Linked DNA regions of Saccharomyces cerevisiae S288C. The protein of the gene in region 3 interacts with the protein of the main gene of each other region in a biochemical or structural test. Each region holds a gene or a part of one and is shown on either strand. Other genes may lie near its edges. The genes, in order: IME2, SLD2 and MCM6.

Evidence for each region.
Region 1: of the proteins of MCM6 (region 3) and IME2, one has a biochemical effect on the other in vitro, tested with the Saccharomyces cerevisiae proteins (one study listed by BioGRID).
Region 2: the proteins of MCM6 (region 3) and SLD2 form a complex in vitro, tested with the Saccharomyces cerevisiae proteins (one study listed by BioGRID).

Annotation. Positions count from the first base shown.
Region 1 is NC_001142.9:215,927-227,064, reverse strand, and holds IME2 (protein kinase IME2), read right to left. Parts: upstream 5,676-11,138; coding exon 3,738-5,675; downstream 1-3,737. Other genes in the region: SET4 (Set4p), read right to left, coding at 328-2,010; YJL107C (uncharacterized protein), read left to right, coding at 7,049-8,212; pheromone-regulated protein PRM10, read left to right, coding at 8,209-9,360; snoRNA-binding rRNA-processing protein UTP10, read left to right, coding at 9,756-11,138. UniProt on the Saccharomyces cerevisiae protein: Protein kinase which is essential for the initiation of meiosis and sporulation.
Region 2 is NC_001143.9:229,621-239,838, reverse strand, and holds SLD2 (Sld2p), read right to left. Parts: upstream 5,414-10,218; coding exon 4,052-5,413; downstream 1-4,051. Other genes in the region: SEG2 (Seg2p), read left to right, coding at 1-654; aspartate transaminase AAT1, read right to left, coding at 948-2,303; YKL106C-A (uncharacterized protein), read left to right, coding at 2,573-2,692; YKL107W (putative short-chain dehydrogenase/reductase), read right to left, coding at 2,769-3,698; transcription factor HAP4, read right to left, coding at 5,948-7,612; KTI12 (Kti12p), read left to right, coding at 9,959-10,218. UniProt on the Saccharomyces cerevisiae protein: Has a role in the initiation of DNA replication. Required at S-phase checkpoint. Also required for the proper activation of RAD53 in response to DNA damage and replication blocks.
Region 3 is NC_001139.9:113,237-125,269, forward strand, and holds MCM6 (MCM DNA helicase complex subunit MCM6), read right to left. Parts: upstream 7,672-12,033; coding exon 4,618-7,671; downstream 1-4,617. Other genes in the region: KEX1 (serine-type carboxypeptidase), read right to left, coding at 1-1,428; ARO8 (bifunctional 2-aminoadipate transaminase/aromatic-amino-acid:2-oxoglutarate transaminase), read left to right, coding at 2,823-4,325; EMP24 (Emp24p), read right to left, coding at 9,458-10,069; YIP4 (Yip4p), read left to right, coding at 10,355-11,062; MDS3 (Mds3p), read left to right, coding at 11,462-12,033. UniProt on the Saccharomyces cerevisiae protein: Acts as a component of the MCM2-7 complex (MCM complex) which is the putative replicative helicase essential for 'once per cell cycle' DNA replication initiation and elongation in eukaryotic cells.

The DNA.
Region 1 (11,138 bases), on a different chromosome or scaffold from region 3:
GAAATGAATTATGGAAACAATGCAGCTTTTTGAAAGGAAAAGTGCGGTGGATTTTAACGTTAAGGATCCTCTCAACTAATGATTGATGCTTAATCGTGGCATCTATAAATAAAGCATGAATTGTTCTCTATAGTTACAAAGTGGTGATTTATTATAAAAGTGTTTTGATATTCACGCTTTCAACATTAAAGCTAAAAACAAAAGAAAAAAAATGAAGACCAATGCGAAAAAAAATACCAAGATTGAAGTTTTGGAAGAAAAATTATGATGATAAAATTAAGCTTTCAAAAAAGATTAAAATGAATACTATTAATTTTAAAATTTCGTTTATGGCTTACAGTTGTGCATTATTGTATTAAAGTAAGATTTATTAGATAGGGATTCCTTCGTATTCCTCATGAATTCTTCAGAAAAGTTTTTGATTTTAGTTATTGGACAATTATGGCCCAAGTACCCACATGCACAATCACAATTTGTTAAAATAGTCTTTATTGACCCCATCAACCAGAACTTGTCGGGATCCGGTAGGGAATCCAAATCTTTAGATGCATTTATTATCTCCCAAATAGGATTTCTCAAATCCCATTGCCATTCTACGCTTATCTCTTCTCCCTTACGAATATCTCTTATAGCCCTTAAAACAAATTTAACTCTACAATCATTATCTCCTCTTGGTTTTTCGTCAAGCGGTCTTACCGTTACTAGTTCCACATTGGGCTCACAACTCCGTCTTATGTATCTTGTTAATCCGCCTGTTTCTCGAGAGTCTATATATAAAGGCCAATGTGGATGAAAAAGTACTTTAGGTTTTGTCGTTCCCATCAAACGATAGTCATTATTTGGATCTGTCTGATAATTTTTTTGAAAATCAATTTTGCCCAAATATTCTTGAATTAGCTCACCTTTAACACAAGAATCTGCAGCGAAGACTCCAAAATCTCTTTCATTTGATGATTTTCTTACCTCGATGTCAGCTGACCTTGAGCTTTCCCAGTTAGAACAAACAACCCAATCGTCATCATAATGGTTATCAATAAACATCTTAACATATTTGTCCTTATACTCTGATATTGTTATTGCTTTGAATTCCGTGTCATTGGAAGAACTTACCTCATTCAGTAGTGGCTTCAGAAAGTGGCTTGATACTACCAGTTTTTCTTGCCTCAATTTTTTCCGTATACTATTGCTATTTTCAGTTGTTGGGGCGGTATAATGAAGTTGACGTTTCTTGGGCTGTTCCTCTATGTTATTCACAGACTGTTGATGCTGATTTGTGTTCGATGCTGAAGTTGTCACTATGGATGAAAATTGAAATAATCGCTCATCTCCCATTTTTCTAGGGAATATCATTGGTTTTACTTGATTAACCTGCACTTTCGTATCACTGTCACATCTTTTGCAAACAAAATCTCTTTTTATTGGATCTGATTTTTTGAAAGCATAACATAACTTGTGCTGCCACGTTTTACATTTGTTACACTGTATAAACAACTCATCCTTGGAGTCACTTGAACCGCAGATGCAACCATTTTTAGGTTTGTTATCTTCTGCTCTCATGGAGGGTGTAATTTTATTTTCTTTCGATGATTCATTGTGTGTTACCGAGACCTTGGAATTATCATCTTGATTCTGTTTTTTCAGTGGAAATGGTATGGTGGCAGCAGTTGCCAATGCTACTGCTGCTGCTATTCCTCTTTTATTTGTTGATGCCGTTTTTGATGAGCCTGATGAAGAATGATGGTTGAAAATGCCCCTGTCATTTTGAAATAAATGTAAAGGCGTTGGGCCAGCTGTAGGCATTGTATTGAATGTCCTTATCGGCATATACTGAGGTGAGGGTAATGTCTCTGAAGCTGCACTGCTGACGGACAAGGGTGTGTGATCGCCGTAATCTTTAGACATTGAACTATTAGATGAGTACGACGACGACCGCGATATGACCTTGTCTGTGGTTGTGTATGTCCTTCCTTGCCTGATATGACGAGAAGATAGTGATTCCGGTGAAGTCATTTTGAAGATGAAGCGGTATTTGTAACTTTCTGACGAGGGTACCAATCTTATTCCGGCGTTCCACGCTGAAATTATCTATGCTTTTGTCTTAAAGAGAAGCAAACAAGTAATTTGAATCAGATATATTTCCCTCCTTTCCTTTTCAATAAAAAGTGATGAGATGGCCTATTGATATCAAGCTATGAATAGGGTAGCCACCTTTTATACAAAGTTTCTTAGATGTGTATAGCCGTGCAATACCAAAATCGAGGTTCCTTATATACTTCCTAGTACTATCCAAGAACAATAATAAGGTTTCCTGAAGGAAAAAGAGGTGGTTATTGATCACCAGAAAGTTTGGCATTAAAAACAAACGACAGCACAAAGGAACTTTCACCCTACAGCACCTTCTGTGTGCATGATTACATGTACCCGAGTAGCGAAAAAAGCCAGAAAATGTGCAAGAATAAAGGTATCTCAATGAACGAGCTCGAGCGTCAAGAGACGGGTATAAGCGAAGAAGCGCAATGCCGCCAGCCAAGCAAAGCCAAACGAAGAGATCGACCTTCCATGGGGTCGCAACTTTTCCCGGTGACCTCTACATGTGTGATTGTTAGTTCAGCGTAACAGAGTTTCAACAACATGCATATACGAGTGTGCCTTCGTGCCTGATTTTGGTTGATTATCCGGCTTCCAACCTCGTTAAATTTTCATAAAGTGCATATCGTGTAATGTAAAAAGTAAAAAGATAAAAAAGACTCATATGAAATCTTGCTGCATGGAGACAAGTGCACTCGAATTCTTTACTTATATTTTCGCTCTTGAGCTCGTCCTTTTACTAGCATATCAATATCCGTTTCATTGAAAAGTGGCCTTAGAAACGCGGACACATTAGTCTCGTATGTCGGCTCTCGCCTACTTCTTGCCTATTGTTTCAGTGCCTTTAAACCTTATTTCCCTTCCCTCGCGTGCCATTCGGCGATCTCGATTTTCCGCAAGGGGCCTCAAACGACCGACATCAAAAACCAAAACAAAGGCCAAGCACATCGTTTAGAGAAGAAATTTTGGGGGTAATATGTTTTAACGATGCCATATATGCACCAACTTCTAGGGGAAAGAATGCTTTTGACTATCTCTCCTTCCTTGCATATAGGCCAGATTTTTCCTTGGATTGTGCTGTATTACTATTGGCTCCAAGGAACCTCACAGTGAGCTTTTCCAAACCGAAAGATTTCTCTTGCGATTTCTTCGTATGCAGTAATAGGGTTTTTTGAGAATATACCGGGCATAATGTTGCAGTTATCAACTATCGCACATACAGTAGTAACAGTTCTGGTTGTCCTAGCATTAATGCCGTTTTAATTTTCTGCAGAGTATTGCCTGTGGACAACAGTAACTTATACGAATAAACATACCAAGTTAGGATCTGAGCCGGGTAACCGAACACAAAGATCTCGTTCTACTTTTTTTGACCTCTTGATGAGTTGCTTAACAAAATCAGTAGCCGCCAAGAGCAAGAAATCATAAAATGTTCAAGAAAAACAAACATAAAAATATATTGGAGGGGAATAAACGCAAAGTAATGTCTAATAAGTTAAATTAAAGCCATCGAAAAAGCACTGTATTAATAGAGCAGTAGCTATTTAGGTGAATGCATAGTAATATAATATATATGCGAACATATGTATGTCTATGTGTATATAACTATATAACTGTGCCTAACGATTCGTCAGTCAAATGACAAATTATTAGAAGGTTACATTTCCAAAATGTTGGTTTGAATTGGATAGATGAGGCTCGAACTTTTCCCGTGATTTTTTTAATGTAGGTATCAAGAAATTTCTTGGAGTAAAATCTGGCATTGAATTAAACGAATCGCCTAAAGAGGCATCACCCAAAACATTATCACCTCTATGATGTGACCTATCTGTATGTGTGTAATTTGAGTTGTTCACATATGGTAGAACGATGTCTTCATCAATATCTGCATGTTCATTAAATGGTTGTTTTCTCTGAAACTCATCCTTTTCAGGAATTTCCAGGTCAAAAAATAGCTGTTCCATGTTGTCTGCTTCATCTTTATTTATAATTTCAATATCATTTGTCAACTGCCTAATATTCGATAATGAATGATCTAAGACTTCTTCATCTGGTAGTTGACAAAGGGCCAAATTATTACGAATTTCTTTTGATAATTCAGTCTCATCAATAGAATCTGAAATGGTAGAATCTGTTCCAACATCAGGTATTGAGTGATCATCATTATCTTCTTCAACGAATTCGTTTAAAAATTCTACCAAAGTTAGTTTTTCTTGATTTAATGTTGGTGAGCACATAGCATGAGAATCGTGATCGTTGTTGCTGATATCAATATCATTAGACTCTGTTTCTGCGGGCAATTTTGTTGAAGAGTTAAAATATATGGGCTTTGTGTTGGTCGCTACTGGATTTATACCTGCAAAAATCAATGCTTGTTCTGTATTAGTCACATTGCCTCTTGCGTCTACTTGGGATGCCACGGTGTTTTCAAAAAATGGCATTTCACAAAGCTCTTGGGCTGTTGCCCTTTCATTAGGATCCCATCTTAAACACTTTTTGACAACCTCAGATAAATCGGATAGTTGGGAGCTAGAAAGTAGATGATCCAACGATGAACCTTCTACATAAGGCAATTTCAAGTTTAATTTATGGACCAAATTACTGGCATCATCCCAAAATCCACCAGGTGGTGGAGCTGTGATGTGGTTTGTATTAACAAAATCAGAACGTTTGATAGGTGTACCAAGAACTTCTAAAATTTTCCATATCTGATCGATTTCGTTAGCACCGGGGAAGAGAGCTCTGAATACAGTAACTTCCACCGCCACGCACCCGAATGCCCAAATATCCAAAGGTTTGGAATAGTAACCACTTCTTAATAATATTTCAGGCGATCTATACCATCTTGTGGAAACGTAGGCCGTATACGGGTTTTTATTTTCAACATGGCGTGCCAAACCAAAATCTGCAAGTTTAATGACATAGTTATCTTGATATCCAATCTGGTTCATGTACTCCTTTTCAAAATACTGGGTACTTGGTGTGATAAGAATATTTTCAGGTTTTAAATCTCTGTGGAAGAAATTATGTTCGTGGATGTGTTTTAACCCAGCCAGTATCTGCGATAGAATAGATTTCAAAGAAGGAATCGAAAAAACTCGGCGCCTTCTATGTTTCATCATTTGATATAGGTTTTGCTCCATACATTCCATTACGATATGTAATTGGTAATTTTCAGAGTCAATAAAGACCTCAAAAATTTGTATCAGATGGTCATTCGCTGGGATTGCCAGTATGAACTTAATTTCTCTGACCCTCGTATAATCCTGGAGTGTATGCAGTTTTGTCATCATTGTCTTTATAGCCACTACACCTTGTGTCTTTGTTATATAGTTTTGGTGACCATTTTTAGGCTGATCCATTAAAGTACCCCTTATATCATGTTGTTTACCCAATATGTTCGATAAAGGAAATTGCGCTTTGGCTAAAGTTACACAACCAAATGATCCTGCACCTAGTTTTTCGATCAGCTGATATCTGTCTGATAAAGTCTTCAAAGGGATAGAAAGTGGCGGGTTATCGACATCAGGTGGAACACTGAACTCTGAGCCACTACTGGAACTCTGTCTACTACGTTTTTCAACCATAAATGACCTATTAAGTTAAGCTTAGTACTCTTCTTTTATTACGTCTGTATCACGTTCCTTTTCAATGAATATTTAAGAACACGATTAACTTTTCTGATAAGCCTGGTAAATAAATACAGGTTTATATTCTCTAGACAGCCACCTTAACCGACTGGAGTGTCCTTTATATCTTTACCCAAAAAATAAAACTTTTAGGAGAAGGGGTAACAAACTGAAAAGGGAAAGGGTAAAGTAAAGGTAACTGTAAACTATTTTGAAAGATAGATCTTGTAACTTCTTTCTCGTTGAGTGATATTGGAAAATAAAAATGAAATGAATGTGTGAAGACAGAAGAAGTTATTCAGGAAAAGAAAATGGACAGACCGGTGAGTTGCTACCTTAATATATCTATTTGATTACACACATTACTTCTTTACCTCTTTGCAACCAGCACTTGTCTGTGGCTTTTTGCCGCCGAAGTCTCGCGCCTTTTCCCTGTTGAATTGCATTTAAGACACAAGGCTGACATTTATTAATGATAGAGATTTCCACAAAAACTCAAATAGCCGCCGTAACATAAATTATTGGACAACCGGAGAAAAGGATATTTTAAGGCACCAGCGGGTAATACATCTTTATTTCTCCAAGTTTAAAAAGCGTATTTGGAAAAGCTGTGCCACTCAGATTTTTGTGAGAGTTTTCTTTTTCTACTTACCATGAGTGCGGAGTCTTGGTGAAACAGCTACTGAGAGAATAGGTATCTGGGTTACCAGTGTAGTTAGCTACAACATGTTCGAAATGCATGGTAGAGTCTGGGTTTCGTTCCCTTTGGCTTGTTAAGGCCGAAGATTGCTTTGGTCTGGATGGGCGGAGCCCAAATTTTATTGTTGAACTATTTTTAGATTAAGAAAAACAGCGCCAAATTTTACCCGGCTTATGGCTCCTCCCTTGGTACTCCCATTTTTATGACGTAGCAGTTGTCCCGCTTGTTTCAACTCCTCGAGAAAAGTGGGGCATTGGGTTTATCTGTCACAGTACCACCAGCACGCCGAATGGACCCTCTTTGTCTTAGCCCGACGTCTCCGTAATCAGCGCGCCATTCGTGTTTCTAGTGTCCTTTGACTATTTTCATCCGAAAAATATCGAAGCAAAGCCATCGCCAAAAATTGCGAACCCAATATGACGAAATTCGGAAGAATCTTGAAAAAGAAATAAACCGAATTGCATATTAATATATAACTATGTTTTACGTTTGTTTTAAGCCTACTATATCTGAGAACGTAGCTAAATAAATCTTATATAACACTTACTTACTTACTTAGCGGTGTGCGACTTTTATCTTTTAGATATAGAATAACAAAAGAAAAAAGATCGAATAACCGATAGGCTATACAATGGACGGTAGAAATGAAAAACCAACCACTCCTGTGTCAGATTTTCGGGTGGGAAGCTCCGAGCAAAGTCAAGCGGGAGTGAATCTTGAAGATAGTAGTGACCATCGCACTTCCAATTCAGCCGAGAGCAAAAAAGGCAATTTAAGTGGTAAAAGCATCAGTGATCTAGGTATTTCTAATAATGATAACAAAAATGTAAGATTCACTGCTGATACGGATGCTCTAGAAAATGATTTGTCTTCAAGATCTACAGAAACCAGCGATAATTCTAAGGGCACAGATGGACAAGATGAAGAAGATAGGCCTGCTCGCCACAAGAGGAAGCCTAAAGTTTCTTTCACACATTTAAGGAACAATGGTAAGGATGGAGACGATGAGACGTTCATCAAGAAGATAATAAATAACCTGACTGGAAATCAAGGGGGTTTGGTCCCTGGCTTGGCACCAATACCTTCAGAAAATGAAAATGGGAAGAATGATATAGAAAAAAATAACCGTAATGAAGAAATTCCCTTATCCGATCTAGCTGATGCGTCTAAAATCGTAGACGTTCATGAGGGCGACGATAAAGAAAAACTGGAGGCTCTCAAATTAGAAGGTGACGTAAATTGTACGTCGGATGGCGAAACGTTAGGCTCAAGTTCAAAAAATTCATTTCTGGCTCCTGCAGTGGATCATTTTGATGATTATGCAGAAAACAATTCATCCGACGATAACGAAGGGTTTATTGAAACCTCCACATACGTACCCCCTCCATCTCAAGTGAAAAGTGGAGTACTAGGGTCATTATTGAAACTTTACCAAAATGAAGATCAAAATTCAAGCTCAATCTTTTCAGATTCACAAGCTGTAACAACAGATGATGAAGGTATTTCTTCTACTGCTGGAAACAAAGACGTACCAGTTGCCAAGCGTAGCAGATTACAAAATTTAAAAGGCAAGGCTAAAAAAGGCAGAATGCCTAGACTGAAGAAAAGACTAAAAACTGAAGCGAAAATTACGGTTCACATTGCAGACATTTTACAAAGACACCGGTTCATCCTACGCATGTGTAGAGCTCTTATGATGTATGGTGCTCCGACGCATAGGCTTGAAGAATATATGGTTATGACTTCTAGAGTCCTTGAAATAGATGGTCAGTTTTGTATCTTCCAGGTTGTATGATTGTTTCATTTGGTGATGCAACAACAAGAACTTCCGAAGTTCAATTGGTTAGGTGTACTCAAGGTCTAAACCTTTGGAAGCTGCATCAAGTTCATGCCGTTTACAAAAGAGTTGTCCATGATACCTTAGGTGCCGATGAAGGTAATGCTTTACTCGATCAAATTTTGGCTGACACGAATCTATATCCACCTTGGATGTGTGTTCTTTTATATGCATTTTGTTCCGCTATGGTCACTCCGTATGCCTTTGGTGGCGATTGGGTAAACCTGGCAATCTCATTTTTTATGGGGCTTTGTGTGGGGTCATTACAATTTATTCTTTCACAAAAGTCATACATGTATTCAAACGTCTTCGAAATTTCTGCATCTATTGTCGTTAGCTTCTGCGGTAGAGCTTTTGGCTCTATCCCTCGTTCTCACATCTGCTTTGGTGCAGTTACACAAGGCTCATTGGCATTAATCCTGCCAGGTTATATTATTCTGTGTGGTGCACTAGAACTGCAAAGTCGAAGCCTAGTTGCTGGCGCGGTCCGTATGTTCTACGCCATTATTTATTCTTTGTTTTTGGGTTTTGGCATAACATTGGGCTCAGCTTTGTTTGGATGGATGTATCACAATGCCACTAACGAAATTTCATGTCCTCAATTAATTTCTCCGTGGTTCAGGTTCCTCTTCGTTCCAGCGTTTACCATTAGTATCTCGTTATTAAATCAAGCACACATCTCACAACTGCCAGTTATGGTCTTCATTTCTTGCACCGGTTATGTCGTAACATATTGGGCCGGTAAGCATTTTGCGAATTCGACAGAGTTTACTGCCGCCTTAGCTGCATTTGTCATAGGTGTTTTAGGTAATCTATATTCCAGAATTTGGAAAGGTTTAGCGGTATCAGCTATGCTTCCCGCAATCTTCGTTCAAGTGCCATCTGGTATTGCTTCACAAAATTCGTTGTTGTCTGGGTTGCAAAGTGCAAATACAATTGTTAATGCTAATGAAACCATTACGACAAGCACCTCCGATCCATCGTCCTCAATGTCATTTGGTATGACAATGATTCAAGTTTGTGTCGGTATTTCTGTGGGACTATTTGCTTCTTCACTCTTTGTCTACCCCTTTGGTAAAAAGAAAACTGGTCTTTTCAGTTTATAAGCTCTCACAAGGTCCACTTCGTTAGAAACTTGTTAACCAATGGACCAAGTGTTGCCATTGGGTCATTCTTCAGTATCAAAGAAGACTTTGACCCACTAAGAAAAATTTCAAAAGTAAATTATAAATATAGCATTAAGTACAAATAACATATCAGCTTATGAATCCTTTTTTTCAATTTTATGGTTTCATAGCCAATAATCATAACATACATAGATTAATAATATTCAAGTCACATGACTTTTTTTTTTTTCTTTTTTCTTTCTGCGTTAAGCAAAGAAAAAAATTTTCAGTTAGCGATGAGCTAGATATTTTCGAAGGTGTAACAAATACTTTCTTTATTACCTTTCAGAATCAGACTTATCTAACTGGCCACCAAAGTACGAATAACTTTGAAAATGTCTTCGTTGAGTGACCAATTAGCTCAAGTTGCTTCCAACAATGCTACTGTTGCGTTGGATAGAAAGAGAAGACAAAAACTTCATTCTGCTTCTTTGATTTATAACTCAAAGACGGCTGCAACACAAGATTACGATTTCATTTTTGAAAACGCTAGTAAGGCTCTTGAAGAATTGAGCCAAATTGAGCCAAAATTTGCCATTTTCTCAAGAACACTCTTTTCAGAGTCTTCCATTTCTCTTGATAGAAATGTCCAAACAAAAGAAGAAATTAAAGATTTGGATAATGCTATCAATGCTTACTTGCTATTGGCTTCTTCTAAATGGTATTTAGCACCTACACTACATGCAACAGAATGGTTGGTTCGTCGTTTTCAAATACATGTTAAAAACACAGAGATGCTGCTTTTGTCCACTCTCAACTACTACCAAACACCTGTCTTTAAGAGAATTCTCAGCATTATTAAGTTGCCCCCTTTGTTTAATTGTTTGTCGAATTTTGTTAGAAGTGAAAAGCCCCCAACGGCGCTAACCATGATAAAGCTCTTTAATGACATGGATTTTCTGAAACTTTATACCAGTTATTTGGATCAATGTATTAAGCATAATGCAACGTATACTAACCAGCTTTTATTTACAACATGCTGCTTTATTAACGTTGTTGCTTTCAATTCAAACAACGATGAAAAACTGAATCAGCTTGTTCCAATCTTACTTGAAATATCTGCTAAACTTTTAGCCTCTAAATCAAAGGATTGTCAAATAGCTGCACATACCATATTAGTTGTATTTGCTACAGCTTTGCCTTTAAAGAAAACAATTATCTTAGCTGCCATGGAAACCATTCTTTCAAACTTAGATGCTAAAGAGGCAAAACATTCAGCACTCCTCACGATTTGTAAGCTGTTCCAAACATTAAAAGGACAAGGTAACGTAGATCAGCTACCTTCCAAAATTTTCAAGTTATTTGATAGCAAGTTCGACACTGTGTCTATACTAACCTTCTTAGATAAGGAAGACAAACCAGTTTGTGATAAATTCATTACTTCCTATACAAGATCCATAGCAAGGTATGATCGGTCCAAATTGAACATTATTCTTAGCCTACTAAAAAAAATAAGACTAGAAAGATACGAAGTTAGGTTGATAATCACTGATTTGATTTACCTTTCCGAAATTTTAGAGGACAAGTCACAATTAGTAGAACTATTCGAATATTTTATCTCCATAAATGAAGATTTGGTGTTAAAATGTTTGAAATCATTGGGACTGACAGGCGAACTCTTCGAAATCAGGCTTACTACATCTTTGTTCACTAATGCCGATGTTAACACCGACATTGTAAAGCAGTTAAGCGACCCCGTGGAAACTACTAAAAAGGAT
Region 2 (10,218 bases), on a different chromosome or scaffold from region 3:
CCCCCCGCCAGGAAGTCTAGTTTTGAGAAGGAAAGACCTGCGAAGGATAACCTAGGATTTAGAAGCATGTCTTTGAGAGAGCCACTTATCACAAAGAATGCTACAGCCACAGCAGCAGAGAACCTGGATGTGGAAGAAAAGAAGGAAAAAGGAGGTCATGTCTCAAGAAAATCATGGACTTTTGGTTTGCCCTCTCCGCTGAAAAGGAGAACAAGTCATTCTACTCATACCACGAACGAAACAGAGATAGTTAATCCCATGACGAACTTCAAAAATAAGACCAACGAAAACGATATGCCAATATTAGCAAATAAAAAGAGCTGCAACAACGATGATTCTTCCCCTTACACTGCATCATCCATGAACACTAATGACGTAAGCGAAGCTGGTACAGAAGGCCACCGGTTTTCATTATTCGGAAATAAAAGCCAATTGTCAAATAGGAACATATCTGGTGGAACAGCCACTTTGGAGTCATCAAATCCTGACCTGCCTACAGCCTTACCATTAAGCGTTCCGGTGACTATCATTGATAAAAATGGAGAGATACACAAGCTTCATAACGATGATGCAGCTATAAAAGATAAGTCGCATGACCGTCACGGTCACAGTAAATTCGGTAGGAAACTGAAAAAAATTTTTGGCAGGAAATGATTTGAAAGAAGAAAACATAGGAAACCTAAAATGAAATGTAAGGATATGATGCACTGCCACCGTAATTAAAATAGTTGGCTAGCGCTAGCTTTCTTTTCATTTAAAATTTAATAACTAGTTCGATCACGAATTAATCCAATCTAGTTATCTGAAAAGTGTATATAGAGTAGATAAAAAAAAGGTTTATTAATTATTACAAAAAATTATTATATTCTATAAATTATTGTGTGGCAAAATGAGAAGGGAAAAGTAATAAAAAAATAAAGACAAAGGTGAACTGTAAGGTGAAAAAATTATGCGAGTTTGTCCATTTTCGAGACTGCTTCAAGAGATTCACATAAGTAATCAACGTTCGAATCATTGACTCCGCTAAGCGACAATCTACCATCACCTGTTAAATAGACGAAGTAATTGTTTCTCAATATTTCGACTTGCTTTGGACTAAACCTTGTATAGTAAAACATACCGTGCTGTTGTGCGAAATTTACAAGATCCGGCCACCCTAGACGGTCAAACATCTCCTGTCTGACGTGATGCAATCTCTGAACCATGAAATCAACATCCTTGAACCATTGCTGTTTCAATTTGAAATCTGATAATACTACATTTACCACACGAGAACCGTATCCTGGTGGAGAAGAATACATACCTCTGACAATCTTTTTTAATTGGGAGTCAATATTTTGCTGCAATGAGTTTTTCTGTTGTAGAGGGTTGAACTTTCCATTGTTCGCAGTTGCCGGCGTGATAACGCTTAAGGAACCAACTCGTTCACCATAAAGGCCCATGTTCTTGGCAAAAGATTGACAAAGAAAGATACCGTTACTCCAATTTGGATATTTATTTACATTGAGACATAGCCTCAATAAATATGCGTCCTTTAGTAAGTTACCAGACTCTAAACCCTGATAAGCCATATCAACAATGGGTACCATTTTTAGCTCATATATAGTATCTATAATCTTTTCCCATTGCTCTTTAGTTGGGTCGAGACCTGTAGGGTTGTGACAACACGCATGCAAGATTATGCAAGGTGGGTTCTTATTGTTTTCTTGCTGGTTGTTATATGCAAAGGTTTTCAATTGCTCAATCCATCCGTCGATGTCTATCTGACCGTCCTTATAATAGGAATACCGGTAAATATTTTCAAAACCATTGTTCTGAAAAATGTTCTTATGATTTGCCCATGATGGGTCAGGTATCCAAATATCTCTTGAAATAAATAATGCCAAGAATTTAGCTGCTACAGCTAGGGCGCCTGTACCACTCAAAGTCTGAACAAAGCTGATTCTATCATGGGCTAAATAAAATGGCCCAAACTGCGGACATGATTCCTTGAACAAAAATTTCATAACGTTTTCCTGAAATTCTTTGGAACCTGTTATTGGTAAATATGAAAGATTCTTATTCAACTCTAAATGAGATTCAATCAATTTTTGAGCTTTTGCAACGGAGGGAAACGTCGTCACTTTGCCCCAACCATCTTTATATATTCCTACGGTCAGGTCAATTTTGTTAACATTTTTTACCTTTTTGAAGTGTTCAGATAACCCCAAGACTTTATCTGGAGGTGCTCTTGGTACTCTACTAAGCGATGACGTGTAGTAGGGCCTCCATAGACTGCAATTAGTAAGCCTCGTCCTCAACATCAAGTCTTTCGGCAGTGAAAAACGGATAGTAATTTTCAAATGAGAAGGGAAAACGCACTCAATAGTATGCTATCGTTCAATCCGCTATCGTCTATTCTGTATTTTTTTTTTCTTTTCAATTGCGACGGTTAGCAATTAGATAACCAAGACAGAGAGAGCGAATACTTGCTAGCAATTTATATACGTAAGCGAAAAATGTAAAAAAAAATATGAAAAATGCGGCATCCTAAATATTGGAGCAAAGCAGAATAGTGCTTCCATACTCCAAGATGCCATTTCCGTCGATATTACATCTGACAATAGGAAGATATGCGAGCTATGACTCCAACAATCACATGAGACGGCGTGCAAAACTCATGGAAGCCATCTTCCGCATCCGAACAATATGAATCATCGACGATGGTCGCATGCAAACGCCCTTTAAAAAGTGAAATATTTAAATATAAACCAATTAGTTACAGCAAGTCATTCGTTACTGGAAGTGAAAGGACTTTGATTACGCAAGGCCTTTTCAACTAGAAGTTCCGAATTTTCCATAAACTTCTCAACAACATCTTTGGTCAAACCAGGCGAAGGTAAAATAGCATCGCCTTTGTTGCTGAACATTGTACCACTGCGTGATTCGATAGCGGGGCTCGCAATCAGGGTGCATATTGTTTTCGCATACGTCTCTGCGCTTTGACAGGTCCAGCTGATTATCCATTCTGTAATGCGGCTGAGGTAGGTGTCACTGCCAAGAAGATTATTACGAATGTTCGTTTTGATCAGCCCAGGGTTCAAACCGAAAGTATCTATATTCGTGTATCTGTCTTTAGCGTCTATGACCAGACTTTCATTGGCTGCCACAGTGTTCATATGTGTAGCGTAGGCACTATACTTCTTTTCATCAGAATTCAAGTCATCTGGGTCTCCCACCTGACCATTTCCTGGAAACCCTGCTATGAAAACTTTTGGCAAATCGTCTTTTTTTGTCCTACTAATTCCTAATCGCTTCGCCACATCATGGAAGATAATGTATCTACTCAAATAGCTCACTGCCATGTCTTTTTCCAAACCCTCACTTGTAGCTTGTCTCTGGCGTGATGCAAAAATACCCGTAGTGAAAATCAGATGTGTTAACTCCTCGTAGGGAATTTCATCACTATGAGATATACGCTTGCATTCTGACACTAAACTTAAATCAGCCTTGACAAAGTTAATTTTATCTTTTAGGTCCTCGTCCCTAAAAGTTTGCCCGACAACAGTAACCCTGGCATTTCTTTGGGCCAGCTCTCTACTTATTGCACGTCCAAGTCCACCTGTGCCACCAATTATGGCCACATTAAAACGACTAAAATCAATGTCATTGATATTTTTTCTTTCCCAACTGACGGTGGGATCCTTTTTCCAGAACATCCTGCTAAATGCGCCAATATACTATTATTAGTTTTTCCTTGATACGTGGTAATATTCTGTTTGTTGGTTCACCTTTTCATTCACTTGAATTGTTTTAAATTTTGTATTTATACCTCTGCCGATTATTCCTCCCCTAATTGATGATTGCAGATTATGTAATATATATACATATATGGACGAGGCCCCTAATTGAACAACAAAAATAAAAAGTGTAAAAACATGCTAGTCTCTATATTGATAAAAATACGTATGATGTCCATATAAACTATACGTCATGCAGCTGAAGGAATCTAACTGAATACTTAATAGGTTTCTATAAATTACAAATGTTTGTATTATTTACGCCATCACGCTCACCTTCTTCCCCATCGTCCATTAGAGAATCGGTTTTTCTTTGGCAGTTTTAGTCTTCTGAAGTTATTGCTCACTAGATTATACTTCTTTCTACCCTTTCGCTTAGCCGTAGGCTTTTGCTCTGAGCTTACAACGCCGCTGCTTGCCTCCGGATCATGTTCAAATTCAGTATCAGAGATTTGTGAGGTGGATCCCAAAAATTCTGCCACTTTCCTTCTTTTGAGTTTCACCAGCTCCTTATGGACATCTCTCTCAAAACCTGCGGTCTCGGTTTCTGGATCATTGTCTCGTAATCTTCTGATAACCTTTCTTCTTTTGGGTCTCTTTCTTATGAAGGTATCTTCCCTTGCTTGGCTATCATCATTATCATCATCCTCTTGAAATATGTCCTTCACAACTTTTGGTCTAATTAGTTCATCTTCTAGCCCAAAGTCGTCTTCGTGGTTTTTCTCATCGTAACCATTCTCGCCTTCTTCTCCTTCCTCTTCCTCTTCAATATCTTCTTCCTGTAAGACACCAAATTCTTTTACAATTTCAGTATGTTCCCTGGCCAATTCTATCAGGGATTTCGTCAGTGGTCTTCTAATGAGTGGAGACGGACTAAATGAAGTTGAAATATCCGCTTGATCCTTTGAGGGAGTCTTCTGTAAAGATGGATATGCTATTTGAAGCCGGCGTTTAGTGCTTGAATTAAGTGAGATGTTTAGGTGAATGTTTTCTTCATCCAATTTTAGCGGGGAATTAGGTCCATAATACCCCGATGGTTTGCCAGATTCTAGTGGAGGATTAATAGTTGGACTACATTTCTTGATTTCTACCAACTTCCCATTGCGATTCTTGCATGGTGATGAAGTCGGAGTACGTGTAGAAGAAGCGTTTAGCATTTGAAAGTTTAATTGGCGTTTCACACTGGATATTGGTTCCGCCACTAACGTACGATCTGCAGGCGACGATTTTAGGAGAATAGTTTTTCGTGGAGAAGATTCATTAGAAATTGTCTTGGAGTTATCATTGTTAACATCAATATTATTTGTGAATGTCATGTATATAGGCTTTATAGGCGACAAATTCATGTCAAAGATACTAATCGCCTTACCGTAAACTTGGGGAGTAGGGCCTATCTCTACGACTTCGTCGTGGTCTTTTTTATGTGCCGGGAGTTCAACCGACTCTTGAGTGTCAACTTTTTGTCGTTGCAAAGATTGTTTCTTCTTCAGTGTGGAATATTGTTTATACATCTGCCGAACAGTCCGCAGGCTCTTGATGTCATCCCTTGTGGGTTCCCTTTTATTTTTATCAATGAAATCATGCTCCCATGTTTTCAGCTCAATTTTCAATTTGTCCAGTTCAAATGAGTACATCGAACTACAGTTATCGCCTCACTAGATAGATTTCCCTGTCCTGTGGAGCCTGATGTAAATCAAAATTTGATTTTATCATTTTTCTCTTGACGTGTTTCACCATACGCGTAAACGTGATGTGATATACGGAAGATATGTAAAAAGGAAGCAAAAAAAAAAAAAATGAAAGTAAACGGATATGTGAAAATGCTCTTAGGTAATTTGAATATAGTGTATGTATGAGAATAAATAACTAAGTACCAGAAACGGTATATAAATAAAAAAAAAATAATGGCCTTCCAGACCCATATTTGTTTTTCATTTTAACTTTTTTTTTATGATAAAGAAAGAAAAAAAAAATCATTAACATCATTAAAAAACAATCAAAGTTTTGTTTTTTTACTTTTTTTTTTTGGAATTTTTGTTGTTGAAGGAAAAGGACGCCTAAGCAGGCGAAGAATACTATCATTACCCATAATAAGAATTTTTTATTGTATAATATCATTTTGTTTTCGTGATTTTTAGTTGTTTTCGTTTTATTGCAACATGCCTATTTCAAAATACTTGTACCTTTAAAAAATCGACATCTTCGTCAAGGTCGTCGATGAAACTGCTTTGATCAAGTTCATTGGTGGCAGTTGCATCATTGTTGTTATCGTTTAAGTCATAAAGGTTAGCGTTCGACTTCGACGTAGAAATTTTTTTGGATTTCAGAACTTTGGTGTAGTCGTCATCAGTACCGGCACTACCGTCAATACCGGTATCGTTGGAAAACATGAAATTTTTAAAAGATCTGCCATTGTTACAGTCCTGCTCTTCCATCAACTCTTCTAGAGTTGGGGGCAAATAAGAAAACTTATTGTCAGCCAAAGTGATTTCTGAACCTAACTCGTCATGGTGATGCGAATCAGCGCTTTCATCCTGATCCTGAAGAAACAGATAGGTTTCATCGTTCTTTGCTTGGATGTTCGCCTTCTCAGAATTAGTATTTTTTTTCAAAGCACGTGATGAATCTTCTTGTTGTGAACTTGAACTTGGTAAATAATTCCAAATGTCTTCTTCATCTGGCTCAACCTTATCATCTTGCCCTGAAGATACGGTTTCCTCCAAAATTGGCAGATTCAATAAAGACATATTATCGTCATTGTCCACTTGTTGGTAATTGCCACTGTTCTTACCTGTTGTATCGTCCATAGACTGTAAGTAAGAATTCCAGAGATCATTATTTTCGTTAACGTCGTTATTCGTGTTGACTTTGGCATACTTATTGAAAAACTCAAGTTTCTCGAAATCGTTAAAGAATTTAATCTCGTTCAAATCCTCAATTTTGTCCTTAACTTGCAAATTAGTAGGCAAGGAGTGGTTTCTAATCAACGAGACTGAATCTGCTGGAGAGAAATCTGCTGGAGAATCAGGGAATGAAGCCTTATGAGGGATCTTATGAAAATTTAGGTTCATGTTCAAATCTTTTGTCAACTGTGGGACCGGAGTGGCCGATGAAGATGTGGAAGATAAGGACAATAAATCAAAGTCGTTCAACTTTGATTTTTTCGTGGGTGGTGCGTGAACATTTGAAGAAGAATCTATATGATGGTTTTTTGTTAGCAGACTGTTGTGAGCAGCAATGGTTTCCACATCGGTGCAGCTTTCATCGTCCATGAATTCTGATTTTTTTCTATTTCTATAACTTGAAAAAGATGGAGATGAATAAGATGGAGATGAAATGGAGGAGGCAGAAGAATGAAACTTTTCATTTTCCAAGTCATCGAACTTCAAAAATGCGAGGTAATTCGAGTCGTTTATTAGCTTTTCATCGATTGTCTGGATATGTCTTGGTATTTTCCTCTTTTCTTTGGAAGCTTGTTTCCTATTCGAAATGATGTTATTATTATTATTATTATTACTACTGTTCCTGCTGTTAGGGCCAACATTTAAAATATTATTGGTGTTGTTGGCAGGTAGAGTGTTGTGAGAAGATGATCTTCTACCAGGTCTTGGTCTTGGGGGCAAAACCCAATGTTTTGAAGTTCTAACCACCAAGCTAGACTTCTTCTTCTTTTTACTGCCATCGTTTTCGAATTCCAGCGAACTATTGTTATGATGGTTGGTATTTGGGGCGATCGGTACAGGCGCCAATGGAATATTATTATGCTCATTTTTAAAATGGTTACTACGAGGGCGACTAGCGGAGGCCTGTAGTAGAAAAGTCTTTGCGGTCATGATTCTTTTTTTGTTTTTTTTTTGTACTAGAAAATGTAGGTAAAACAAATCAGCAACCCATTAAAATGCTCTTTGATGTACTAGGAGACCAATAAATATGTGTGGAAAAAAAATAAAACTGTGTTTTTTCTCTTCCTATGCGTTTGATAATGATCTGCTCAAATAAATAATGACCCTTTTTTATTTTTCTGGTTCCTTTATAGTAGTATTTTTATATTATTAAGTGTAAAGTGGACCTGTAGATAGCATATACGATATAAAACTGGGGTTTAGAGAGGTGAAGGAATTAATAAAGGTAAAAAAATTAAAAGGAAAAAGGAGATGGACCTAAACAACCACACGGGGTTAAGCAAGAAGAAATTGATATAGGAGATTAGTTAATAGCTTTACAATATATATAATTTATCTAAAAACGATCTCATACTCAATAAATTTTTTTAGAGTAGTCTCGGAAAGAAAATAGCAATCCATTTACTTTTAGAACAATCTGCAAAATCGATACATGACACTTGGAAGCAACTGTGAAAAGGCTACGGCCATTGCTTACCGCGTGCAAGATCCGTAACATAAGAAAACTTTAGTCCTTGATGAAAGAAAATTTTCGTTTTTTTTTTCAGGTTCAGCGGGCTTAACCTCGTTTGCCGCCTCGGCCCCGCTCCGTTGTGCTGGCCATCTGTGCGCGGCGGGCTTCCCCCCCGTCGCTACTTCCGGATTAAACTTTTAGACTTCGGACCCCTGCCCCGGGGGGTTTCTCTGAACGCCGGGGTAGTGGTCCAAAGCCCACGAAACGCGTGTTCCTCTCAGCGGCATTGGAGTGAATAAAGCCCGCAGGACAGCCTTTTTTTTCCGGGCTGCACGACCGAATCAACTTGTCGCTCTATTCCTCCGTTGTTCCCGATTTGTAGCTCGGGGCCGACTCGCTTTTTGGCCAAGAAAATTGAGGAAAGCCCGTATTGCGGAGAAGGTTCTTATGTATTTGCCGTGCGATCAACCTCCGGGGCCCGGGTTTCAAATTCCGGCAATCATCCATGCCTAGTTTTGGAAATTCTCAGCAGAGGTTATCCCGTAAGGTGAAAAAAAGACATAAACGGTTTTTGCCTACAGTTTCCGGCAAAATAGTGATCTCATAGTACATCACTACTGCGAAGTCACCGGCCCGTACAGAAAAAGTATATCTTTAAATAGCGGCCCTACCTCTGCTTCTACCTACTTCATATTCGAATTCTTTTCTCGCCTTCCGCAGTGTTTCGCAAATCTGGACCTACGCACTAAATCATTTATGATTGTTCTCTCTTTCACGTGATAAGGTTTGCATTCTATTCGTTACCCTATTAATTATTACTATTTTTTTCAGCATGAGTTTTATTTCGCACATAAAATGCATCTATTTCTGGATATTACTGTAGTTTTCTTTGCTTTTCGCCTACCGCGCGGCGAAAAGTCGTATCAATCAATATGTGCCACTGCTATCATCCCTTGATAGAGTACAACGTAAAAGAGGCATTGTAGCATATTCACCCCGCTTGATAACTAGATTTTTTAGGCAAGAGTTGCGCACAGCGTACTGTGCACTACGGTATACAGAATTACACAATTGATACTTATTCTCTCCTTCATTGTTGCTCTGTTTCCGTTGTTTAAACTTTATCCAAAAACTCTGTTTTCTGTTTATTGAACCCCTTGCTTTCGCAAGCAAGCCCGACATATACGAACAGAACTGGGGAGAGGGAGTCTTATGCTGTACAACTCATGTAACCCCCACTATCTCAGGAGTTATATTAAATCAAGGCACGCCAGTGCTGCCTCTCTTGGTACGACAAACAAGTTTTTCCCGATTCTAGGTATTGCATTACATAATATCAACCCTTTGTTGTTTTCTTTTGATTTTTGAAAAGAAATATCTCATACCAACCGGAAAGGAAAAAGGACACAATTTGGGAAAATAGGCAATTTATTATGTACACAAGTCATAACCAAGAAAAAAGTAAGGGTAAAACAAGCAATTACTGAACTTGTTTCATGAGACTCATATCCAGAAGCATATTTATATAAGGAAATATTAGTTGCAAATCATTATGTCATTCCTTTCGCACACCCGATATGCTAAAAACAGCATACATGCACACTGCGCTTGGCTTGGACATATTCTCTCTGCATATGATGGAAAAAAAATCTTTTTTTTTCTTTTTCTTTGACTTTTTGCCGTTTTGTCATCGTCATCGCGATGGAAAAAGAAATGAAGAATACTTGATGAACAGGTGAAACTTGAACAATAACGTATCAGAATGAGGGTAAAGGGACCTTGTAAAACTTTTGAAAAAACTAAACAGGCAATTTAGTAAGAAGATGCCACTGGTGCTTTTTACGGGATACCCATGTAGTGGTAAGACAACGCTTGCTAAACATTTGGTACAACTACTACAGTCCAAGATCGATGCAACCCCATCATTAAGTAAATATTCCATAACCTATCATTCAGATGAATCTTTAGGCATAAAACATTCAGATTATATAACTTCCCAAGATGAAAGAAAATTGAGGTCGGAGATCATCTCCGCAGTGAAAAGAGATCTATCTAAAAACAAGATAGTCATTGTAGACTCGTT
Region 3 (12,033 bases):
TTTATCGAAGGGTACCATGTGAGAAGCATTATAAACGCTAACAAACGTCAAATTTCTATCATACTTCACGTATCCGCTAAATTCTTCGCTGTCGTCTGTACTCTTCGATTTATGGATCCAATCGAACGAAACAGCATCGTCGCTAAATCCCTTTATTCCACCCCATTTTAGATTGTCTATAGTATCTAATACGCCCTTGTTATTACAAATCAAGTCTTTGTCACCATTGAACAAGACAATCTCTATTCCACTTTCAAGTAGACCAGGTAATAAATGGATAGATGGCTTTGAAATAGGATTAGACAATTTAGTTCCAACGCTATTAGTGCATTCCTTCCAATGATCAATTTTATCAGAATCAAGATGCAACGAATCAATAACACCAGGTGTGCTGAAGAATTTACTGACAAAGGAAATATCTTTCGGCCAATTCATACCACAAGATGGATAACTATCTTTTAAATTGAAGTTATACATGTTCAAGCAATCCGCTGTTCCCTTTTGCGAAGATTCCCTGGTATAAGACAATAGAAGGTTTAAAATATTCTCACATTCCTGATACGAAAAATGGGCTGCCTCATCTGTACTGGCAGAGTTTATCAGATTCTGGCAATTCTCGTGTGCGTTCGTTAAGTGTTTGAAATTGGGGTTGCTTTCATCAATCAGTTTCTTCTCCATAGCAAACGGAAGGTACGATAGGGACTGTGTATTGGGGTCAATCCAACCGTTACCAATCAATAGCGCCTTCAAGTCGTATGTATCCCCGTCGATCTTTGAAAATTTGTTATGGTTCAAAATTGCATTGGCAAAGAATGGTATGTATTGGCCAGCGTAACTTTCACCCGATAGTATGATTTTCCTAGTGAGGTCTTCTGGAAAAATCTTGAAATAGTTCTCCAGAAAATCCATAAAATGCTTGGTCACATCTTCTAGGTCTTCGTCAAATTTGTTTTTGTCGATTTTACCTTCGTCTTTATTTTGTTCGACAGAAAACCCAGTACCAGTAGGTTGGTCGATAAATAAAAGATCGCCTTTGGATATCCAGGACCCTTCATTTAGATAAAGTTTACCGTCTGAATTCACCCTAAAAGGGCCGGATTCGACCAAGGCACCATCCATGGAAGAGCAACCGGGTCCACCATTTAACCATATAATTAAGGGACGGTCGACATTGCCATTAGAGTCGTTATTGGTAAACTTCCAAAAAAAGTACTCCAAGTCAGAGCTATCCTGTTCATCCGCATCTTCGGAACGTAAAGGAATATGGCCAGCATGCATCTGTGGAATATTTGAAGGGTCTGGCACTTCAGATAACCCTGGCAACAGCTCATATGCCACTTTGTACTCCTCAGATGACGGAAGGGATACTGAGATCCTTATTAAAGCAGACATGGCTAGCCACGTTCCGAGCCACCTATTGTAAAACATCTATTCAGGTCTTTATCTCTACGGTATTCTATAGCCAAGGTACTCTTTAACCAAAGTATGCTTCAGCAAGCTTTTTCAAATAGATGGGAGTTGAAGACAATGATAAGAAATCGCTTTTCTTAATGTTTCCTATATTATCAAAATATTCCACTTTTTTTTCTTTTTCCACATTGTTTTTCGGTTCCGGGCTGCAGTAAGCAAATATAAATGTTGGTGACAAAACTTGAAAGTTATAGCCAAAAAGCTCGCAATTCCTCACCTAACAAAATGATCCTGTTGGAATAAAAATCAACTATCGTCTATAAACTAGTAGTCACACTACCAGTATATTATCATATACGGTGTTAGACGATGACATAAGGTATGAGAAACTGTCATCGAAGTTAGAGGAAGCTGAAGTGCAAGGATTGATAATGTAATAGGATAATGAAACATATAAAACGGAATGAGGAATAATCGTAATAATATTATGTAGAAATATCGCTTCCCCTTTGAGGATTCCTCTACCCTCGAGGAGAACTTTTAGTATATTCTGTATACATAATATTGTAGCCTTGATCAACAATGAAATGCCTACAATCATCTTAAAATTCACCAATCTCTCAGCTCTTATTTAAGCTTTGTTGAGACGAGAGTTAGTTATCCGACAATACTATACAAGACATTAACATCATTTTTCGTGCTGTTAGGGTGGTGTCTTTTCATTTGTTGCAATAAATGATAAGTAGTTTACCGTCCATTAACATGTGCATTAAATAATAGCATTATGTGAACATAATGTATATTTAACTAAAACTATTATCGAAGAAATCCGAAGAACTCATCCTTGTTAGCTCAGTTGGTAGAGCGTTCGGCTTTTAAGCGCATTTGCTTAAGCAAGGATACCGAAATGTCAGGGGTTCGAGCCCCCTATGAGGAGTTCTTCTTTATTTTTTTCCCGGTTCACTATTTTTCCAAGATTAAACATGGCTCATATACACCATCCAAAAATCTCTTAATTAACCTATAACCATTGTTCTCCTTCACCTCATTCAAGAATCTGGCTTCTGAATTGCCATTGATAGAAGAACAGTACTAAATTGCGCCGGAATAATGAAGAACATCCGGGTTACCTTAGATGTCTTTTTTTCCTTTTTTTATCACATTTTTCACTCTGCACTTTTTCACTTTCTCGAGGTCCAATCTATGACTAATATTAAGCGCATTTCATTTGAAGATATGTGTATCGCAATCTTTTTTCTTATCTTGTAGACCCTCCTATACACATCTCTAGACTATATATTTGGTTTGGTTATATCTTTAAGAACTTATTTCTTTTTCTTATTTTTCCATTCCACTAAGTTAAACCCTGCAGTTGATACAGACATTGAATAGGACAACCGATCGTTACTATCATGACTTTACCTGAATCAAAAGACTTTTCTTACTTGTTTTCGGATGAAACCAATGCTCGTAAACCATCCCCATTGAAAACCTGCATCCATCTTTTCCAAGATCCTAACATTATCTTTTTGGGTGGTGGCCTGCCATTAAAAGATTATTTCCCATGGGATAATCTATCTGTAGATTCACCCAAGCCTCCTTTTCCCCAGGGTATTGGAGCTCCAATTGACGAGCAGAATTGCATAAAATACACCGTCAACAAAGATTACGCTGATAAAAGTGCCAATCCTTCCAACGATATTCCTTTGTCAAGAGCTTTGCAATACGGGTTCAGTGCTGGTCAACCTGAACTATTAAACTTCATTAGAGATCATACCAAGATTATCCACGATTTGAAGTATAAGGACTGGGACGTTTTAGCCACTGCAGGTAACACAAATGCCTGGGAATCTACTTTAAGAGTCTTTTGTAACCGAGGTGATGTCATCTTAGTTGAGGCACATTCTTTTTCCTCTTCATTGGCTTCTGCAGAGGCTCAAGGTGTCATTACCTTCCCCGTGCCAATTGACGCTGATGGTATCATTCCTGAAAAATTAGCTAAAGTCATGGAAAACTGGACACCTGGTGCTCCTAAACCAAAGTTGTTATACACTATTCCAACGGGCCAAAATCCAACTGGTACTTCCATTGCAGACCATAGAAAGGAGGCAATTTACAAGATCGCTCAAAAGTACGACTTCCTAATTGTGGAAGATGAACCTTATTATTTCTTACAAATGAATCCCTACATCAAAGACTTGAAGGAAAGAGAGAAGGCACAAAGTTCTCCAAAGCAGGACCATGACGAATTTTTGAAGTCCTTGGCAAACACTTTCCTTTCCTTGGATACAGAAGGCCGTGTTATTAGAATGGATTCCTTTTCAAAAGTTTTGGCCCCAGGGACAAGATTGGGTTGGATTACTGGTTCATCCAAAATCTTGAAGCCTTACTTGAGTTTGCATGAAATGACGATTCAAGCCCCAGCAGGTTTTACACAAGTTTTGGTCAACGCTACGCTATCCAGGTGGGGTCAAAAGGGTTACTTGGACTGGTTGCTTGGCCTGCGTCATGAATACACTTTGAAACGTGACTGTGCCATCGATGCCCTTTACAAGTATCTACCACAATCTGATGCTTTCGTGATCAATCCTCCAATTGCAGGTATGTTTTTCACCGTGAACATTGACGCATCTGTCCACCCTGAGTTTAAAACAAAATACAACTCAGACCCTTACCAGCTAGAACAGAGTCTTTACCACAAAGTGGTTGAACGTGGTGTTTTAGTGGTTCCCGGTTCTTGGTTCAAGAGTGAGGGTGAGACGGAACCTCCTCAACCCGCTGAATCTAAAGAAGTCAGTAATCCAAACATAATTTTCTTCAGAGGTACCTATGCAGCTGTCTCTCCTGAGAAACTGACTGAAGGTCTGAAGAGATTAGGTGATACTTTATACGAAGAATTTGGTATTTCCAAATAGAGAGGTAAATACGTTGGAAGAATATATATAAGGTGAAAAAAGGACGTACGTATTTTTGTATTGCTTAAATTTCGAAGTATTTTTTCTTTTTGTAAAAGACTGCAAGTGGAAGCCAAAATATAATATTTTGTTTTTTCATTAAGAGTACAACTTTATACAACAATTATAACTTGATTTGAGAGCCAAGTTATGTAAGATATTTTTCTCCCACAAAGAGAAATGCACACGATAGGAATTTACAACGTGAACGATACTTGAAACGAAATATGAAAATCCGCAAGAGTGCACTGAATTAGCTGGAATCCTGTGGTTCCAATTGATCCAAAACCTCACAGTTTGGATGAATAACATAAACAGTTTTATTATTTTCATTTTCCTCATTCTCAAGATCTCTTAAATTGTGTCTGGTACCATGAATCTCCATTAAAATCCTATCTTTGACCAACCTTTTTATGACTTTGAACGCTAATCTTCTCTCTTCCCAATATTCTGCTAACGAACCCAAATCATTTTCCTTCTGTAATAAATACCAATCAACTATATCCACAGCTGTTAGTTCTTCTGCACCCTCCCTATCTACTTCAGCAATCTTTCTAACGATCATGTTCATCATGGACACATATTTATCATACGTCACCGTTGTTTTCTTCTTCTCGCTTGTACCTGGACGAGCTGTAGCTTCGCTTTGTCCTTCTTCTATATCTGCTGGTGGCTCACTCGTAATTACACCTGACCCAGTCCCATCATCATTGTCATCATTGTTTCCAGAAGCGGCGTGACTTTGACTCTCTATGTTATCAAATTCTTCATCCATTTCCACATCATCCACATCAACACGAATAATACTTTGCCTTAAAAGATCGTAAGCTTCTGCAATGAATGATGGAGTAATTTCATCGACACAATTAGCCCTCGCAATAGCTTCTGATAATCTAATCATACTTTCAAGTTGCCTAACTGTGATTCTATAACTCGATCTACTAAATCCCTGGGCATCATCCTTTCTCAGTTCCTTATACTTCTCGACTAAATAGGAACGGGCTTCTTTCGTTAATATTGGTTTAAAAGTACGTGCATATTTGATATAACGACGTAGTTGTTCTGCACTAAATGGCGGCTCAATGGCTTCGTCTCTTTTCATGTGTAAGTCAACGATATGAGATGCCAATTCGGTATCAATTTTTTCGTTACAGTCATCAAGAATAACAAAAAATAAATCAAATCTGGACATGATCGGTGCGGTCATATTTAAATTACCCCTCAGTGATAGTTTCCTATTGTATCTTCCACCTACCGGGTTGGCAGCCGCTAGAATTGATGTTCTTGCATTTAAAGTAGCGTGAATACCAGCTTTAGCAATAGAGATGGTCTGTTGTTCCATAGCTTCATGAATGGCAACTTGATCTGAAATATCCATTTTATCAAATTCATCGATACAACAAATACCGTTATCAGCAAGCATTAAAGCACCTGCTTCAATTGTATAATCACCTCCTTCCTCATCTCTCACAACCGCAGCTGTTAAACCAGCAGCCGACGAGGCCTTACCGGAAGTGTAAACTGATCTTGGTGCAAATCCCACTACGTATTTTAAAAATTGAGACTTAGAAGTAGAGGGATCACCAACAACACAGATGTTGATATCTCCTCTTAACTTAATACCTTCTACAGTACTCTTATGAACACCACCGAGCATCTGAAGCAAGATACCCTTCTTTACGGCTTCATGGCCAAACACAGCTGGAGCAATAGATCTGACCAATTTATCATAAATATGTTCATCCTTTACCATTTCCTTCAGCTCATTTATTTCATCTGAACTCAAACTGTTCAAGAATACTTCTTGATCTCTTTCATTATCTTGGTATACATTATTAGCTTGTAAATTAGCAGCCATCTGTAGTTCAGTTTCTCGGTTGTTAGAATTTGCATCAGGGCTACTTGCACCAATGTTTGATCCAATACTGATAACATGGCATGCCAGAAAGCTAATCTTGTATGTCAAATCACGAACACCAAGAGAGCGTAAACCAGTAACACCACTATTCAAACCTTCAGTAGTCTTCGAAATACCTCTAGTATCTAATGTTGAACTTGGCTTCACACCTGGTAGCCCCAATTGTGTAACATCAGGTACTACAATTTCCACACCCGTAAATTTGCAACGGTCACCTGGCTTGGCTCTTTCGACACTATCACCTCGAAGAATGACGTCCAGCGTACGCGGCATGGAGCCTGTAGGTATTTCGTTAGCATTTTCTTGAATTCTGACTTTTTGCCAATCAAGAAACCTGGATCTTGTAACATTTAATGTCCAAAAGGCTCTATTTTCGCATGATGGGTTCGGGCAAAATGTCGGTTCAGTGTACTTGAAGGACTGTTCTACGTTATCTACGATAGCACGGCACATATCACACGTAAAGCTTGCCTTGTATAATTCTGGACGGACCTCAGATGTTCTTGTCACTGTCCCTGATATACTCAATAGTGAACCAATCTTTTCAGATCTTATATCACGAATTCTGTGAACTGTTGGTAGATTGAAGAAACTGATTTGAAAAACACGTTCCGTCTGTTCAGGTGACGTAGAAGTTGTTATTGACCTCGTTGCCATGGCAGATGTCCCATTCCCTGGTGCGGCTGATGATCCAGAATCTCTTGGTAGACTCGACCCATTCATATCATCGTCCTGTTGCTCATCTTCATCCGCTTGACCTTCGTCACCTTCGGATCTCTTCAATGAGTCACTTGTGTTTAACAATTCAGGTGCATACTTTCTTACTACTCTTCTTAAACCCTTTTGTAAAAAAGGCAAAAATCTGTAATATTGTTCTGAGATAGCCATAGCTAGAGCACCATTTTCTCTCATGGATAAATGCTGATAATCTATATAAATGGTGTTTAGGTCATATATTTTCATAAATTCAATTTGAGCTCTATAAACTTTTTCAACTTCACCAGTATCAGTGGATTGAACGGAAAAGTCTTCCAAAAACTGCTCGAACGCTTCACGGACTTTTTCACCAGTAACGTCATCAACTTTCTTAACGTGATTCAAAGCTCTACTTTTGAAGCTTCTGGCAGGTTCATTTCCCTCCATATCATTAGTCGCGGAACCATCGGTTTGCAACCTTTGAGAACTAAACTGAGTGGAATCGTTAACAAAAGGGCCTGTTTGTGAATTACTGACATGCGGTTGAGAAGAACTTGGGAAATGTAACCTAGAGCCTATTTGCGAATCGAGTCCGCTACTGCTTCCGAAGCCAGCACCTATCGACGATGGTGGCGGAGAGGAGTTGGAAGGTCTATTACTGCTTGGTGTGTCAGCTGGAAAAGGGGATGACATTGAAAAAAACCAGTTTTAACCTTTGGTAAGTCTATTTTTCCTATCCACCGGTGGCGAAGTGTAAGATACTCGCTGTAAATCACTTAAGAATGAAATATTTTGTTATTATTGTAGATTAAAGAAAGAAAAAAAAAAAGCTTCAAGAAAGGCCTATTAGGCGCTTTTCCTAAAAAGGAAATTTAATAGACGAACTTAGATGACAATACCAAATAGCGAAGGAACGGCAAAAGAATAGGTACACAAATGTTATGAGAACTGGAATCAAAACAAGCTATTGTTTGTCGACGAATAGTAATGTTACTAGTATATTATGTGCGGTGATAATATGATATAAATCGCGAAAAGGGTAAACCCAGTAAAAACTGAAATGCAAGATAAATAACGTAATGGGGTGATGTATGATATCGTATAAAACACAAGAAAGGATAACAGCACTATCATGCAAAATTGCTTATTTCTGGTATATTCTGGATTCCGAATGACACTTCCCTTACTGGAAAATCGAATTCAAGTGACCATTTAAATGGTCACCTATTTCTCAGGATGACCGCTAATTCTTCTCATCAGGGTTTCCCAAGTTGTTAGCAAACTGTATTGATATCTTTTTGCGGGAGTGAAACCAACTATTCAGCTCAGTATCGGATTAATCTCTCCACTTAATGCTACGGAGTTCTTCCAAACATTAGTACTGGTGCCAGTATCAGCACCACATCAACAGGTGAACTCAAAATTACATTAGTCAGGAGCAGTACACCCGTTAATCGTGGGAATCTCTGTACTGAGGGTCAACTACGTATCGCGGAACTAGGGGTCCACTAGTGTATGCGACTGCGATTCATATAACACTTTAACGTCAAAACCGTATACAGTCCTCATCCGCCTTGGGGGCCAGCATATTATATATAAAAACTCCTGAAAAACACTTACCCAGAGGTACGATAATGAATGACGCTTATGTGATTTATGGTTAACGCAGTACCCAAGACAAGTATGCAGCGTTAACTCCCAATCAAAGAAAATATAGTGGATTCTAATCTGACGAACTACGGACAGTAATTGGTATTTTTACTCATTAGTGACTTTGGTAATGCCCTATATTTCACTAGAAGGTGTCACAGTGTCACAAATTTTACATCACAGTTCCCTTTCGTAAGATCAAGAATATGGCTGACTATAGTGGACATCTTCTTACACCGTATATAGTAATATATTGCTAATATGAGCACTAGTTGATTCTTGTTCCAACAGTATATTCCAAACATGTGTTAATCACGCGTTGATACAATGTGGCTCGGCTACAAATCAGTTATTAACATCGTGAGCTATGTTTCCCTGAAATGGGGACGTTTTCCAACGAATTAGCCTTGTTGGCGCAATCGGTAGCGCGTATGACTCTTAATCATAAGGTTAGGGGTTCGAGCCCCCTACAGGGCTATTCTTTTTTTGTTCTATATGAACAGAGCTATTTCCCTTCTAAGAGTCCCACATAAAAGTGCTCTGGGGAAAAACGGACCACAGCATGTCCTGTGGTACTTGTTTCTTTCAAGTTTTTCGTATGTATTTCCCATTTTTTGATTCGCTACAACCTGTATTTGTTTTATGGCGCGCCTGGACCATATATATGTATATATTTATTTACATGTAATTGGCACAGGGAAAAACAGTGGAAGGATCAAGGTAAAAAGTATGAAACCGAGAATTATTCGCGACTTCAGGTTATCCAATCGTGTATGTAATCGTATGTAGGCAAAAGTAAATAGATATGAACTACATTTTCCTGCTTTACTTAGACTAGAGATGTGACCTCAAAGAATCTTCTCAAGTAGTATATCTGGAAAAGAGAGTTTGCAATAACGACGCCCAATTGGAAGATGGACCACCATTTAACACGATCGTTGGTCGACTCTGCAGTATTTCTATGCGTCCTTTCTCTAATAACAATATAACTTTGTTCGTCCTTGACTTCCCTGGTTAATTTGGACAACTTTCTGACAGCACTATCCAATGTATTGGTGTTTGGGTCGTCCAAATCCACATATACCACCCCATGAATGTTGAAAGTCACGTCTTTTGTCTCGATACCGGTGTTCTCGTTCAAGAAACAGTATTGGAAATGTCCCTTGTATGGAGCAGACAATGTGATTTCACCGTGCGACGTGTCCCTAACCGTTTTCAAAACTTCATGTCTTTCCGGCCCGTAGATGATAAAGTCACCAGTCAGCTGGCTACTGGATTGAGGGTTTCTATCACCGAACTGGAACGAAATGGAGAGCTCGTCACCCTTACTCAAGTCTTCGAAGAAGCATCTACGGCCATAAGCTGGAAGAAGGACATTATGGGCGGACGCCGAGAAGAACAGGAAGCAAGCAATGACAAACTTAGTAGCAAATGAGGCCATCCTTATGCGTGTGTATTTTTGTGCGGAGGGATACTATTAAGATTGCAGTTTCACCAAGTATAGCTTTTTATTTCATTATAAGTTTCGTGTCAAAATGTTTAAGCGACCCGATCTCTCAGGCTGTTTTGCACGACTTTTCTGACTTTCCTCGCGTCTTTTTTCATGAAAATTGGATTACCCGGAGTGATGATTTTCTCACAGTGATTTTTCGTCCCCTTTTACAATAGCAAATGAAGCTGTTTTAGCAATATTTGTAGAAAGATATGTCACAAGAGGGCAGGCAAAATGTCATACGGAAGAGAAGACACTACGATTGAGCCCGACTTCATAGAACCAGATGCACCTTTGGCTGCTTCCGGGGGTGTTGCTGACAACATAGGCGGAACTATGCAGAATTCAGGCAGCAGAGGGACGCTCGACGAGACTGTGCTGCAAACACTAAAGCGAGATGTGGTGGAGATTAATTCCAGACTGAAACAAGTGGTATACCCGCATTTCCCCTCATTCTTTAGCCCCTCTGATGACGGGATAGGGGCGGCTGATAACGACATTTCAGCCAATTGCGACCTGTGGGCGCCCCTTGCGTTTATCATATTGTATTCTCTATTTGTATCGCATGCGCGGTCGCTGTTCTCGAGCCTATTTGTGTCTAGTTGGTTCATTTTGCTGGTGATGGCATTGCATCTGAGACTCACCAAGCCACACCAGAGGGTGTCGCTGATTTCGTACATCTCCATTTCCGGGTATTGCTTATTCCCACAAGTGCTGAATGCCTTAGTCTCGCAGATACTACTTCCATTGGCCTACCATATTGGAAAGCAAAATCGCTGGATTGTGAGGGTCCTGTCGCTCGTGAAACTGGTGGTCATGGCGCTGTGCCTGATGTGGTCTGTGGCCGCCGTTTCGTGGGTTACCAAGAGCAAGACCATTATCGAGATATACCCTCTGGCACTCTGTCTTTTTGGCATGGCCTGGTTGTCAACTATTTTATAACACTAGTTACATATGTATAAAACCCAATATCATGGACATAGAATTGCCTATCTCGCGAGCCACGGCAGAAAGTTCTGAAAAAAAAAAAAAAGAGGACGCTCACAGGGGCTGGCGTGTGGCTAAGGCAGACTCCGTGGAGTGTAAGAGAAGTTCAAAGCAAGATTAGGCTTTCTGATGAATTGGTAGCGCAGAGTCTGGCAAAGTCTATTTCAAGTTCACAGCGTCCGTTTACCACAATTGTTTGAGAACTCTTCTCCTTCCTGTGCCTATAGCCACACTTGCAAACATTACATGGTGAAGGCGCTTTAGAGACTTTTCTGTTTTACTATATATATAAGATAACATAGCGCGCGTGCAAACCAAAGGACAAGTAACAATCTGCACCTGCTTTAGCGTAGTATGCCTTTATTACAACCATCCACTTGCTTCTGCTACCCTTTGAAGCTTCCGCCATTACCACTGACTTCCGATTCCAACGAGTTTGATGAATGCGCCAGGAAAAGGTTAACGCTGGACTATAGAACAGGTTCAGCGGTGACGCTAACAAGGTCTAATATATTTGTACATGGTGGTCTAACCATCCCGTTGAACCTGCCAGTTGTAAATTCTATGCAATTACAAAAGGAGCTTATTCTCTTTTTTGCAAAGGAAAAAAACAACGGTAGTTCTTTTAGGAATTTAAACGAGTGGATAAGTAAGGAGACGTTTTTCTTAGACTTGATGTCTAGAACCTGGTACAGAGTCAAGACCTCCTTTGACCAAAGGACAGAGGAATTATTAAAGGCAGAGAGTTCTAGCGCCAAAGCAGATAATGACACAAACGAGATTAGAACGGACATTAAGAAAGGTAAATCCCTTGAATCTCCGCTCAAGGAGAGGCTATTCCATTCCTTATGTTATTTAGATGGCTGTTTATATATATTTGGTGGTCTCACAGTGTCTCCTCAGAGCGGATATGAGTTGATTGCTAC